Mus musculus: one gene and its partners. The protein of the gene in region 1 interacts with the protein of each later gene in a pairwise test. Links are inferred from orthologs where the notes say so. Each region holds a gene or a part of one and is shown in the gene's direction. Other genes may lie near its edges.

Evidence for each region.
Region 2: the proteins of Ralgds (region 1) and Rap1b interact in binary tests that used the Homo sapiens proteins (3 or more experiments, as listed by UniProt). The link is inferred for Mus musculus from reciprocal best matches to the Homo sapiens genes RALGDS and RAP1B.
Region 3: the proteins of Ralgds (region 1) and Rap1a interact in a two-hybrid assay, tested with the Homo sapiens proteins (3 studies listed by BioGRID and IntAct). The link is inferred for Mus musculus from reciprocal best matches to the Homo sapiens genes RALGDS and RAP1A.

What each region holds. Positions count from the first base shown.
Region 1 is NC_000068.7:28,550,311-28,554,034, forward strand, and holds the end of Ralgds (ral guanine nucleotide dissociation stimulator), read left to right. Parts: intron 1-138; coding exon 139-253; intron 254-1,781; coding exon 1,782-1,957; 3' UTR 1,958-2,772; downstream 2,773-3,724. UniProt on the Homo sapiens protein: Functions as a guanine nucleotide exchange factor (GEF) activating either RalA or RalB GTPases and plays an important role in intracellular transport. Interacts and acts as an effector molecule for R-Ras, H-Ras, K-Ras, and Rap.
Region 2 is NC_000076.6:117,842,809-117,847,377, reverse strand, and holds the start of Rap1b (ras-related protein Rap-1b), read left to right. Parts: upstream 1-1,403; 5' UTR 1,404-1,547; intron 1,548-4,569. UniProt on the Homo sapiens protein: GTP-binding protein that possesses intrinsic GTPase activity. Contributes to the polarizing activity of KRIT1 and CDH5 in the establishment and maintenance of correct endothelial cell polarity and vascular lumen.
Region 3 is NC_000069.6:105,798,216-105,802,868, reverse strand, and holds the start of Rap1a (ras-related protein Rap-1A), read left to right. Parts: upstream 1-1,487; 5' UTR 1,488-1,630; intron 1,631-1,806; exon of another isoform or gene 1,807-2,075; intron 2,076-2,298; exon of another isoform or gene 2,299-2,336; intron 2,337-4,653. UniProt on the Homo sapiens protein: Counteracts the mitogenic function of Ras, at least partly because it can interact with Ras GAPs and RAF in a competitive manner. Together with ITGB1BP1, regulates KRIT1 localization to microtubules and membranes.

The sequences.
Region 1 (3,724 bases):
CCTTATCATCCGAGTGGAAATTATTGGTTCCTCTTGCTTCAGGGGCACATAGCTCCCCAAGACCATGTGGAAGTTGGTGGCAAGCTGTTGTAGGACACTGTGCCCTGTCCTGATAGCCTGCTCCCCATCCCAATTCAGGTGACCAGCCAGGATAAGGCTCCGACTGTCATCCGAAAAGCCATGGACAAACACAACCTAGATGAGGACGAGCCGGAGGATTATGAGCTGGTGCAGATCATCTCAGAGGATCACAGTAAGTCAGTCAACTGTAGGCCAGGGCTGAGGGGCGGCTCAGCACCGGCCCCTTCCCCAGAGCCTGCTGCTGGGCCTCTCCATAAGAGACAAGAGTTGAGGAGAGAGGCTCATGCGTGGGCCTGTCAGAGAGGACATTGCCTGGTTAAAATAAGAAAGCAGGTACTTCAGGAAGAATGCTCAGTTTAAAATCCACACACGAGAGGCTGGATGGCTCAGCGGTTCAGAGCGCTGGCTGCTCTTTCAGGGTACCCAGGTTCAGTTCCCAGCACCTACATGGCAGCTCATCACTGTAGCTTCATTTGCATAGATCTGGCACCTTCCTAGCCATACATGCAGGCTAAACACCAACACACACAAAATACAAATAAATACATCTTTAAAAAAAAATCCACACATGAGATGCAAAAAAGCGCACAGACGAGTCAGCATTCTAGAAAGAAGGATGGAGTCACAAGCCTGGGCTGGGGAGTCGGCTCAGTGGTTACAGTGTACAGTGTGCAGTGTACAGTGTACTGTGTGCTGGGCAGACAGCCTAGTGGTTACAGTGTACAGACTACTGTGTGCTGGACAGATGGCTCAGCAGTTAGAACTTGATGCTTTTCCAGAGGTCCTGAGTCAGTACCTAGTACCCACATGGTTACTTATAATCCCCTAAGTGTGTGCTGCTCTTGCAGAGGATCTGAGTTCAGTTCCCCCCTCTCAGCTTCTCCACAGCTGGCTGACAACCTCCTATGAGTCCAGTTGTACAGGATGTGATGCCCTCTTTGGGCCTCCATAGATGCATGAATGTAATTAAAAAGATAAATAGAAAAATCAGGCCATTCTCAAGGATCTTGGAGAATTTCAGGGGCTCTGTGCCTATGTCCTTTTCCCCAAAAGGAGGCTGTGGCCAGCAGCTTAATGTTAGAGAGAGACATCACCACAGAGGCCACCCATGTCTGTCACCACAGACACTGCTGAAGTGAGCTGAACACCCCCATCTCACCATTTGCTGCTGTCTGCAGTAACTCCCAAGATACCTAGATGTTCTACTGCAAACCTCCTCTCAGCTTCTCCACTGTTTTGGTTATATGGACAGGGTGAGGGGGCCCCTTCCTTCCAGAAGGCAGGCCTACAGAGGCTCAGGAACTAGAGGCAGACACGGGGTCAGCAGGAAGTCCCGCTTGGTAATGATGGACAGATTCTAGGCCAGAGGTGACTAGTGGAATGGAACCCAGAGGAAGGTTCTGCCCTCTGCTGGTCCTTGGAGCCTTGGTGAGTAGCAGTGGAGCATCATGGAAGGCAGTGTGGATTCCTGGAAACCTGCTCTGGCTGGAAGTCCTAGCCAGCAGAGAGAGCCGTAAAGGTGGTGTGGAGAGACTTCCTTAGGCTCTCATTGACCTCTACTGGGGTCGCAGGAGAGGTCCTTGTTGGAGCTGGATTGGAGGACTCCCAAGGCCCTGCTGTGGCCTGGCCGGGAGGAGGCTCTCAGGAGGTGGGGGCATCTCAGCCGCATAAAGCACCACTCCCTGTCCCTCTCCCACCAGAGCTGAAGATTCCAGAAAACGCCAATGTGTTCTATGCCATGAACTCTACCGCCAACTATGACTTCATCCTAAAGAAGCGGACCTTCACTAAGGGGGCTAAAGTCAAGCATGGAGCCAGCTCCACCCTCCCTCGTATGAAGCAGAAGGGACTCAGGATTGCCAAAGGCATCTTCTAAGGACGTCTCCTGGGACGGGCTGACTGGCTGGAGACTAAGCACTTACAGACTAGAGTGGCCCTGGCCACACAGGTACCTCTGCCCACCTGCCAGTCCAGGCTACCCCCCTACTCCACTTTCACCCTGAACCTCTCCTGCTGCCGGGATTGACACCTGCCACTGACAGGCTGACCTGGCCTCTGGGGACCACTTGCCGCCTTCGGTGCCTTCTGCTCTCTGAAACCAGAGGACTAGCTGACTTTTGCCAAGGAGTGTTGCCAACTGGGCATGGGACCTTGCCTGCCCTGGACACTATCCACCACACTTTGCTGACACCTCCCCAGGTGCAGATCACTGCCACCCATGCTCCCGGATGCTCCAGGACACACATACACCCAGCAGGGCTGCCGACTGCATTCTCTCCTTGTGCCCACAGGCACTGGCCTGGGACTTTCATGGAGGTCCTAGCCTTTCCTCCCACACTCTAGCCTTTCTCAGGCTGCACCAAAGATTCCACCTTCAGGGCCTACAGAGTGAGGGAGCCTCGCCCACCAGGAGCCCAAGCCCTCCCTTGGATCAGAGAGAGAAGCCCTCTCGTGAACTGCCCGGTTGGTATTGAATCCCAGTCCACTGAAAGTGCCATTGACCACCGCTGCATCCGGGCTGTACAAGACGACACGCAGTGGGAGGTTTGTGGGGAGGAGGAAGACAACTGAACATTTGTATAAAACGTAAAAAGTTTACTGATTGGGGTGGGACAATATTTATTTGTTGTAAATAGAAAATGCTAGACTTGAATATTATATTAAAATCCCGTTTCTACTACGGCCTGGTCACTGTGGTTTTACTGTTTTTATTTCCTTGCTTATTTTCAGGGTTTTCTGACTCTTTTGTAAGGACTCAGTTGATTTCATGCAGGCAGAGAAGAGGCAGCTGAAGGAGCACACACCCACTTCATGTGCAGCAGACAAGTTAAAGGAGTGATGTGCTCAGTGCTACAGCCTCTCAGCACTCCTGGGGTGTTCTCATGAGGAGATGGCCTGTGAATGGCTGGTGTCAGGCGGTGGCTCCAGGGATCAGTCTCTATAGAGATAGGAGATTGGGGAGTGGGGTGGGGGCTCTACAGCTAAGAGCACACACATATGCGGAAATCTCAGGGAGGTGTGGAGGGCAGAGCCCAGAGGCAGGCTTCTTGGAGAGGACCTGGGTTTGCTTCTCAGTACCCATATCAGGCAGCTCACAACCACCTGTAATTCCAGCTCCAGGGGATATGCCTCTTTTCTGGCTCCTCAGGAAAGCATGCAGCCAACACTCATACACATACGATAGGTAGGTAGGTAGATGGATGGATGGATGGATGGATGGATGGATGGATGGATGGATGGATGGATGGGTAGAAGGAAGGAAGATAGGTAGGTAGGTGAATGAGATAGAAAGAAGTGGTAGGTTGTAAGGCAGCAGGGTGGCTCAGGAGGTGAAAGTACCCATTACTAAGCCTGACAACCCAACTCTGCTCCCTGGGACCAACATGGTGGGGAAAGTCCAACTTCTGTAAGTGAGGTCACCATGTGTACCACATGTTCACAAACACAGAAATGTGTAGGGTTTGTAGGAAGAGGGGCTGGCAGGGCGCTTGATGGTTGGTCTTGTAGAGGACACGAACTGGATTCCTCATGGTGGCTCACCATCACATGTATTTTCTAGAAAATCTGATGCCCTGTTCTGGCCTCCAGGCACACATGTAACACTGGAACACATGTAGGTAAAACCTCATACACACAAAAATAA
Region 2 (4,569 bases), on another chromosome or scaffold:
AAAGGTTGAACCTACTACACTCGGACACTTGCTAGACAAGTACTGGATCATTAAGCTATGCCCCCCCCCTTTTTTTAACTTCTTGAGAATCTCACAAAACCGTTTAGGTTGGCTTTAACTTACTCTGTGGCCTCAGCAACCTAGAATTTGCAAGGAGCCACCTCCTGCTCAGTCTGCAGAAGAAAGAGGTGTGCTCTTACAGACTGGCATCCTGAGACCCAGCTATAATTCTTTCTTACTCGCTCACTTAACTCAGGTTAGCGTAGTGGTCACGTCTCCATTTCTCTTCTAGGGTTCGTTAAATTTCCAGAATAATTTGTACAGGGAGGGCCAGCTAAATTGCCTACTCCTTTCAGTACTTTCCTCTCAAGTTTTGTTCATCAAAACCTTTTCCCTCGCTGGCAGTGGTGGCGCATGCCTTTAATCCCCAGCACTCCATACGTAGAGGCAGGTGTATCTGAGATGAAAGCCAAGCTGGTCAACATAGCAAGGTCAGGCCAGCCAGGACCACGCAATGAAGAGAGCGTAATCAGAGCAGAAACAAAGTCTTCCAAACAAAGCTCTGATAGCATGATTCTCATATTAAAGGTGATGGTGAGAAAATATTCTAATTACCTAGATCGATGTAAGTTCTTGTGCTCTTTGGAACAAGTCATTTTTGGACAGAGCTTTTCGGAGTCACATCATAGACTGACATCTATGAGTAATCTATAAAGTCATGAAGGCGCCCCAGGCATGCTCTTCCATGAACCAATTATTTTAATTCTATAAACTGTTCACTTAGGCACAGGCCATAAGCATGCTTTGGAATCCTCCATTCGCGAACTGCGTCTGGCAGGGTAATTTGGACAGCTGGCCCTGCTTAACACACCACAGGCTGAAATACTTGTCAAACCTAAAGAAAGGCCATTTGAAAAATGAAAAGCTGCCCTCGCGCTCTGGGAGTGGGAACTGCTGCTCTGTTACTTCCCCAGCACAAAGGACCACGCGAACACCGACGGTCTGGGGGCGTTGGCGACTGTGCACTCGGAGGCCCCGCGAAGGCGTCAGAGGTTTCCAAGCCCCTGAGCTCCCCGTTACCCGCTGGGGTCGAAACGGATGCGCTCCGCTGAGGCTGACACCGATTATGTCGGACAGCCCAGCCAGCGGGGGGCGAGGCCGACCGCAGCAACGAGACGCAGGGCAGGGGAGAAGGGCCACGGCCGGAGCCGGCGACCGAGAGCCGGGGCGAGGCCCACTGCGAGGCGAGCACGACGAGACCCCGCCCCCCTCCGCCAGGGCCCGCCTCGGCCCCGCCCCTTCCCGGGCTGCGCTCCTGCGCGCCCCGCCCGCGGGCGGAAGCGAGAGCGAGGCTGAACGCCTGACGTCAAGGCGACACCGCCAAACCTCGCCCAGAGTCAGGCGTGGAAAGCAGCCCGAGCGGCGGCGGCGGCGGCGACGGCGACGGCGGCAGCGGCAGAGACCGCCGTGGCGCCGGGAGCAGCGACCCGAAGGGAACGCGCGGCGACGGCGAGGGCGACGGCGGCGACCCGGTGACAGCGCGAGAGGTGGGCGCGGGGTGCGTGCGTGGCCGCGAGGCTGGCGGGGGGCCGGGCGCCGGCTGAGGGGAGAGGTGGGGTGCGGCGCGGACCGGGCGGGGCAGCCCGATGGCCCCCGCGGCGGCGAGGGTGGCCCGGGCGCGCGGCAGGTGGCTGGCGGGGGGCCCCCCGAGTCCCTCGCTCGCTTCGGCGGGGCGCGCCGCCTCGGGGCGGCCGGGGAGGAACCGCGGCCGCGGCGGGGGAGCAGCGCGCTTTGCGGAAGGGGTCAAATGTCTGAAATATGGCGGAGGAAGTGAGCGCCCGAGGAGCCCCCACCCGCCTGCCCGAGGCCCCCGCAGCCTTCCCCGCCGCGCCCCGCTCCCCGCCTCGGCGGTGGGTGGAAGTTAGAGCGGAAACCAGAAAGTTGTCCTCTGCGGACACCCGGGCTTCTCCCAGCCCGGGGCCGGGCGGGCGGAGCAGCGTCGCGAGGGGGGGCGGGGGGACCACTCCCCGGCGCCCCGCGGGCTCGAGCCTGACAGGGAAAAAGTTTGCCCGGATCGGGGCTGGCTTGCTTCATTTGTTGCGGGAAGTGGCAGGAGGAAGGCAGCGGAGCGAGCCCCACCTAGTCTGGCAGCCGCCACCGTGCAGAGGGAAAAAAAAAATGTTAAAGGGGCCTTTCCTTCGTCAGCAAGAGGAAATCTCTTTTTCTCTTGCAGAGAGAAAAATCCAGGAAGTTTGTCCTCTTCTCCTTTTTTTTTTTTTTTTCTTTTCGCCATCTCGAGGTGTCTGATTCTGAAACTGACTTATCAGCGCCGTGAATTTGGGAACTAGGCCCTCGGGATTTTCCTTGGGGTGGAGGGGGGCGGGAGGAGAAGATGCCTTTGGAAGAAACATCTTCGCTTAAGAGTTTTGAGCAGATGGGATTGCTTTCCTTTCGCTTGCCCCCTCCCACCCCCCAATGCTTTAGAAAGATATTTTGGCCCTGCGACTCTCGACTCGTGTGCATACAAGCACTTCTTTATTACAGTAATAGGAACTCACATTTTTTTTTTTTACTAAGTTGAAAGTTGACATTACGATGCAGGCTGGACTTTTCAATATTTTAAAAATCAATTGAGTCTCGTTGAAATGTTTGCTTTGCTGGCAGTGTGTATTAATATATACCGAGTGCCTCTAGCTTGTAAATTCATTTTTTTTTCAGTTTTCTTTTGTATAATTAGAACGTTGTCGAGACTTGCCTGAAAGGAGTTTATCTTAGCAAGAAGTAACTTAATTGAATGGAGAAATTCTTTTAATTTAAAGCCCTTACCACTCTTAAAGCCTGATATGAAGTCAGTGTATTAAGTCATAATAGAGTCATGGGGCTTTTTAGGGCCGGAAAGAGACTCTTTAAATCATCTGGTCCCACCCTGTCGTTTCATGAGGAGGAAACTAAGGCCTAAAATAGATAACCAATTACCTGAGTCTGCTGATTTGTAAAGCCGTGGTCTATCCATAAAGGACAATCCACAGGAAGCAATGTGACTTTTTTTTTTTTTTAATTGTGAATTACATCTTGGTAGAGATTATTGGTCCCATTATGCTCTCTTCTCCAAGAGTGCCATAGTTAGCTAAATGGTATGGAATACGTCAACCCCTTAGGTAGTTTCATCCCCTGGTTTTGGTTAGAGGAAGTTAATACTCCGAGGAGGAAATAATTTTAACTTAGAGACACAGAATCCCAAATGACAGTCTTGTTTGATATCCATACTTTTAATCTCTGTAGTACATTATATTCCCTTGTACTTTCTTGTTTGACACAGAAGTTCAGTGACCTTATCTGTGGAAGCTGCAAAGTAAAATCAAAAGGACATATAGTTGCTTGTGCTATAATGTATCGAACCTCAGATTAACATCTGAAGGGCCCCATGCTAAGCCGGCTTAATTTTTAGTCTGTGGTCTGGGACACAGAAATGATGAACGTGTCTTTCTTCTTTTTCTGTCTGTCTTACCACTGTTCTTTCCGTGGCTTGTATCACTTCCTGTCTTCTGTTACTGTTGTGTGTGTTTCTCTGTTCTACCAAGTTGTAAGGTCCAAGGAAGGGGTAGATTTCTTCTGCATGCCTCAAATGACTAGCATGTCGCTGTTACATAGACACTCAGATGAAAGTTCAGTAGAGTTCATTGAACACACCATGAGAATAGGAATTCTGCTTTACTCTTAGTCCCTAGCATTTTACCTGGGCACATAGTGATGTTTGGGACTTAATTCAGAGACTAAAGAGAACAGTGTAATCATTTTAAAAAGAATTAAACATTTTCTTTGGGAATCTCTCACTTTCCACGTTGATCATTTTATCATTGGTCATTTATAATGATTCCAGTATTTTCTTTTGACCTATACAGGGAAAGTGAGCCCTCCCACTAAAGAGCCTATAAGAGTAACAAGTTGAAATAAAGAATCCTTTTTAAAAGATTTATTTATATGAGTACACTGTAGCTGTCTTCAGACACACCAGAAGAAGGCATCAAATCCCATTACAGATGGTTGTGAGCCACCATGTGGTTGCTAGGAGTTGAACTCAGAACCTCTGGAAGAGCAGTCAGTGCTCTTAACTGCTGAACCATCTCTCCAGCCCTTTTTGTTTGGTTTGTTTTGTTTGTTGTTTGTTTGTTTGTTTTGAGACAGGGTTTCTCTGTGTAGCCCTGGATGTCCTGGAACTTACTCTGTAGACCAGGCTGGCCTCGAATTCAGAAATCCACCTGCCTCTGCCTCCCAAGTGCTGGGATTAAAGGCGTGCACCACCACCACTGCCCCCTTTTTTTAAAGTGGTGCGAGGCATGGTATTTTGCAGCTGTGATCCCAGCAGTTAAGATTGAAGCAGGAGAATTGCCATAAATTTAAGGCTAGCCTGGGCTAGTGAAACCTGGTCTATAAATAAATATATGAATAACTTGATCTATGTACGTAAAGGTCTTTGAAGAACTTAGTGCTTATGCAGAGATTGATAACATATAACTGTATGTGCTGTTTTACATGTAAAGTCTTAAGATTGGCATGGGAAGCTTATGT
Region 3 (4,653 bases), on another chromosome or scaffold:
GGTTAAATTCCCAACTCTTGACTGAGGATGAGGCTCAGTGGCAGTTTGTCTAGCATGAACCAATCAGGGTGGCGGGGATGGGGACTGTGGGGTGGGGGTGAGGCAGAGATTGAGATTCAATTGTCTTCTTAGCTATTTCAGCAGTAGGCAAGGGAACTGACTGATCACTCCCTCTTTTCTAAAACAACTCCCTAACAACTTCCTTCCTTCCAAGGGGTTCCTCTAACCTGACTGTCAACTCTGCTTATCTTTAACCTCTAAGTTTCTCTTGGTCCTCTCTTCCAGTTACTCCCCATCCCTAAGAGAGTTTATGTAGACCGGAGGGTCAAATCATCTACATCCTGATGGATCTCAAATTTATATCTCAGACTCATCACCACTGAACTTTCTCCATCCCCCATAAAACTGAACTCTCAATTTCTTTGGTCCCAGCTTTGTTCTTACCCTATCTTCTCTCTTATTAAATGATATCAGTCAGCAGGCCCCCAACCTAAGATTCATTCCTAATTGTTTCGTTCGACCCTCTGCTTTCTCAAGTCTAAATCTATTAAAATAGGTTTAATAAAGCTAAAATAAACAAAATCTAAAATAAAATAACCACTCTTGGCCAATTGGACGAGAATAGCCACCTTAGACTTCCCCTGTGAACATTCGTGCTTCAGTTGGATATTTTACATACACAGTGAGACTCACTCCAGTTCCCGATGGGCCTGAAACTCATTGTGTAGTCCAGGCTAACCTCAAACTCGTGGCAATTCTGTTCCTGTTTTCAAAATGCTGGGATTCCAGGAGTAAACCACCACGCCCTGCATAAAGTTAACCTTTAAAAACATGAACTAGATATAGTTGTTTCTGGGCCCACCCTCTCCTCGGGGCTTCCTGTTGTCATTACAATGGCCCAAAGGCTCCACCGGGTCTGGTCGTTTGTCCAGATCTTGGCGCCTCAGTACTCTTTGGCCATAGACTCTACTTATCTATCCATCCTTTCGCTTGCATTTTGCTAGTTGTGAAATATGGAAGACACACCCCACCTCGGGGTTTGTGGCTGATTTCCTCTCAACCCAGGAAGGTATTCTTCTCATCCAGCCTCTTTTGGATAGGCTCGTTTCTTCATAGCACGAACAAAAGCATGCAAAGCCCTCCCTGGTGACCTGTGAATTTTGCTACTCTTTTTGTTGTTCGTGTTCCCTCTCCTGGGTCACGAGGATGAGAGCTCTATAAGTGACTTTCCCTATGTATGCCTAGGCATTGGGGACCTACTAGGCACTCAACTAACAGCTGTCCCATGGTTGCATCCCTTCAAAATTCTCTTTCTGATTTTTTTTTCCCTTCCTCATTTCAATGTTGGCCTTAACCACCTTCTCAAAGGCAAGGCCCCAGTTCCTGTTGGCACACTATGCCCCCCACCCTTTGAAGAACGGCTCCCTTAAATAGATTCCGGACACAGCGGGGAAGGCGGAGACCAGGGCGGGGGGGGCGGGGCCTGCGTGCTGCGTGCGTGCGCGTTCCGGAGGCGCCGCCGCCGCCGCTCCCGAGGCCGCTGCTCCTGCCGCCGCCGTGCAGAGCCCGAGCCCGAGCCGCGGCCGAGAGGAGGGAGGAGGAGGAGGTGGAGGAGGCGCCGGGCCGCGGGGTGAGTACGGGGTGCGAGTGAGGGGCGCGGACTGGCCGCACCTCGGTGGCCTATTCTTAACCGTCCGCGAGTCCGGGGCGGCGGCCGGGGGCCCGGCGGGCGGGAGGGGCCGCGGCTGAAGGCCGGAGCCAGCCACGCCCGCGGACCGAGGCGGCCCGGCGGGGCCTGCGGGACCGGCCGCGAGGGGCGGGCCGCGAGATGGGACGCGTGTCCGCGCCCGCTCGGCTGTCGTCCCCGCGGACGGAGAGGTGCGGTGCCCTCCGCGCGGCCTTTGCCCCGGCCGCCGAGCGCTGACACCTCTGTGTCCCACTCCGCCGCCAGCCCGGGTTCCCGCCCTCCCTGCCCTCTGTATTCTGCCGCTTGCCATGTGTTCGCCTTTGCAGCGTCGCTCTCGACTCTCTGATATCTGCTGCTACCCCTGAATTTTGTCAGGAAAGAGGCCACGGTGTGATTCCGGTCTTCCGCCCACCGAGGGCGTGTGAGGAGTGTGGGGTGGTGGGATTGTAGCTTGTCTCCTTACTCAGAAAGTTAAGGGCAGTGTCTTCTGCTGAGTTGTGTAATTGGCTGTTGTAAGGAGAAGAGCAAGGAAGGACAGTTGTGTCCCCCGCGTCCGCCCCCCCTCCTATCTGAGATTTCCTCACAGGATAGAAAACTAGAGTTGAGGGGACCTTTCATGCCTTGGAAAAAGAGCTACCGCTCAGAAACTGTGAGTGTATTGCCGTTGGGAAAGGAAAATCGTTTTGTCGCTGCTTTGAAGGAAGTACTGTGTAAGAAATGGAATAAAAGGGCAGGAGGTTAATGGGCCAAGCGGGACAGGTACCAACCGCTGTTGTCTGCTTCTTGGGTGGCTGAAGATACTGTTTTTATTAGAGTCAAAGTGTCGACTCTCAGAATTAACCAGGGGAGTTAGCCTTCAGAAGCGGGCGGTTAGAAGAGATGATGCTGGAAACAGGATTTGGAAACTTTCTTTGAGTTTCCTGTCAGAGTGTGTGGGGGTAGATATGCCTGTGAGTACTTTTTTCTTTTGATGTAATTGATTTCTGTAACACTTTGGTAGAGTAAGTACTAGATTAGGTCCCAGACTCTTTCCTGTCTTTATGCTCTTCTGTAACACTTTGTTTCAAAATTAAATTTACATTTTCGGATATTCTTTCTTAGTGTGACTCTTGTTTAGTTTAGTTCCTTGCTACTTCAGGTTCTGTTATGATTGTGTTCGTTAGCAAGGATTATACCTGTCCCAGCATTTGTCGAATGAGTTGAGTGGTCTGTTTACACATCTCTTATCTTTTTGAGAGAAATCTTTATGTTAAATGTTGCATTCCGCTTCCATTATAAAAAATGTCATTCTTAACCATTTCTAGAACATGGTGATGCATATGAACTCTTCCTTTGCCCAGGAAAAACAAAACAGACATTTATCCCCAGAATGTTGTATTCAGCTTCTGGTCTCCTCTAAAGCCACCCATAGACACCGATCTTAAAAGTGAACAGAGATCTCGATGTTATTCAGTTTCATATTAAAACTTTGCAAAAGTGCACACTTTTTGTGGCCTCAGGTGTGATCGTGCTTTCACCCTAAATTCTGAGGATTTTGGAACAAGGTTTAAAATTGATTTCAGTTTTATGAGGAAAAGTTCTCAGGAACCTCTCTCCCCTCCCCCCAATCTCCTGTGGCTCAGTGGTGTCACTGAGGAAGACCTTGAACCACCAACTCTCTTGCCTCGACCTCCAGAGTGCTTGGATCAGTATAGACTTCCCTGGTTTATGTGGTGTTGGGATGAAACCCAGCTTCATGCAGGGAACTTTTAGCAGTCATTTTGTTTGTAGTGTTGAGGAGCTAATCCAGAGCCTCAAGCAGGGTTGGCAAGCACTTTGCCCCTGAGCTATATCCCCGGCTCTAACCAGTAGCCATTTTTAACCAATACTCCCTAGTATATTTTGACCCCTCTAAACTCATAATCATGACTAATCAGACTTTTGTATAATCTATGTTTTAGTAATATGAGCATTTGAAAATCAAATAATTTCTTTTTTTTCCTCTTCCAAGCTTGTTCATATGTGTGGTCTTCATGTAGTCAGTTGTGAAAATATGCAACATTCAGGAAGTACTTAATTGAATGTCTGCTGTGTGGATAAGGAGTTCTTGCTGTCATCCCTTCAGCAGGAGGGACAAGACCCTAGCCAAGTAAATGTAGTGTCAGGTGTTAGAGCTGTGTGGAAGGGTGAGGACTGGTGAGGGGCTAGAGAATACTGTCAGGGAAGACCTGAAGGAAGTGAGGAGGGCTGTGTGCTTCCTCAGATGCAAAAAGATGACAGGAAGAGCGAGCGGCCTGCTAGGGCAAAGACCCTCCAGTATATGTGACCCTTTGAGAACAGCTAGGAGGGCAGTGTGGTGTAAGAACAGTAAGCAGGGAGAGAAGAGGGCTTGAGATTAGAGAAGTAAGGGGGGCTCTTACACTCAGTACTGGGACGTTTGCATTTTACACTGACTGACATGGGGGAGCCCTTAGAGTAGAAGAGAGACCTTATCTGACCTAAGTTTATGAACATCCTTCTGACTATTGTGTGGAAGTCAACTCAGGTTGGGGAAGGAAGGAAAGAGTAGGATCTAGGATTTTTTTTTTTCCTTTCCTTTTTTAATGTTCTGGGGATTGAACCCAAGTCCTTGAACTTGCTAGGCAAATGCCTAGTAACCAAGTTACATCCTGCCCTATGTCTTCCTTTTTAACCTTTCAACCATGCTAAGATTGTCCATCTTCTTTCTGTCGGGCATGTAGGTATCCTCTCCTCCCCATAGAATAACAATGATGGTTCACAGTAGTCTAGGCAACATTTTTTTTTTCCTTTTGGAATATTTCTTTGTGATTTATTTCTAAAAGGATCAGTATGTGAATAGACATATAGTTAGTTGGCCATCTAGTTTTAACAGCCGTGTTTTCTGAGCACAAGTTTCATGGCAATTTAGTTTTCATTGGGTGTTATCACCACAGACGATTGTTTTTAGACAGGTTGAATTTAGCTCA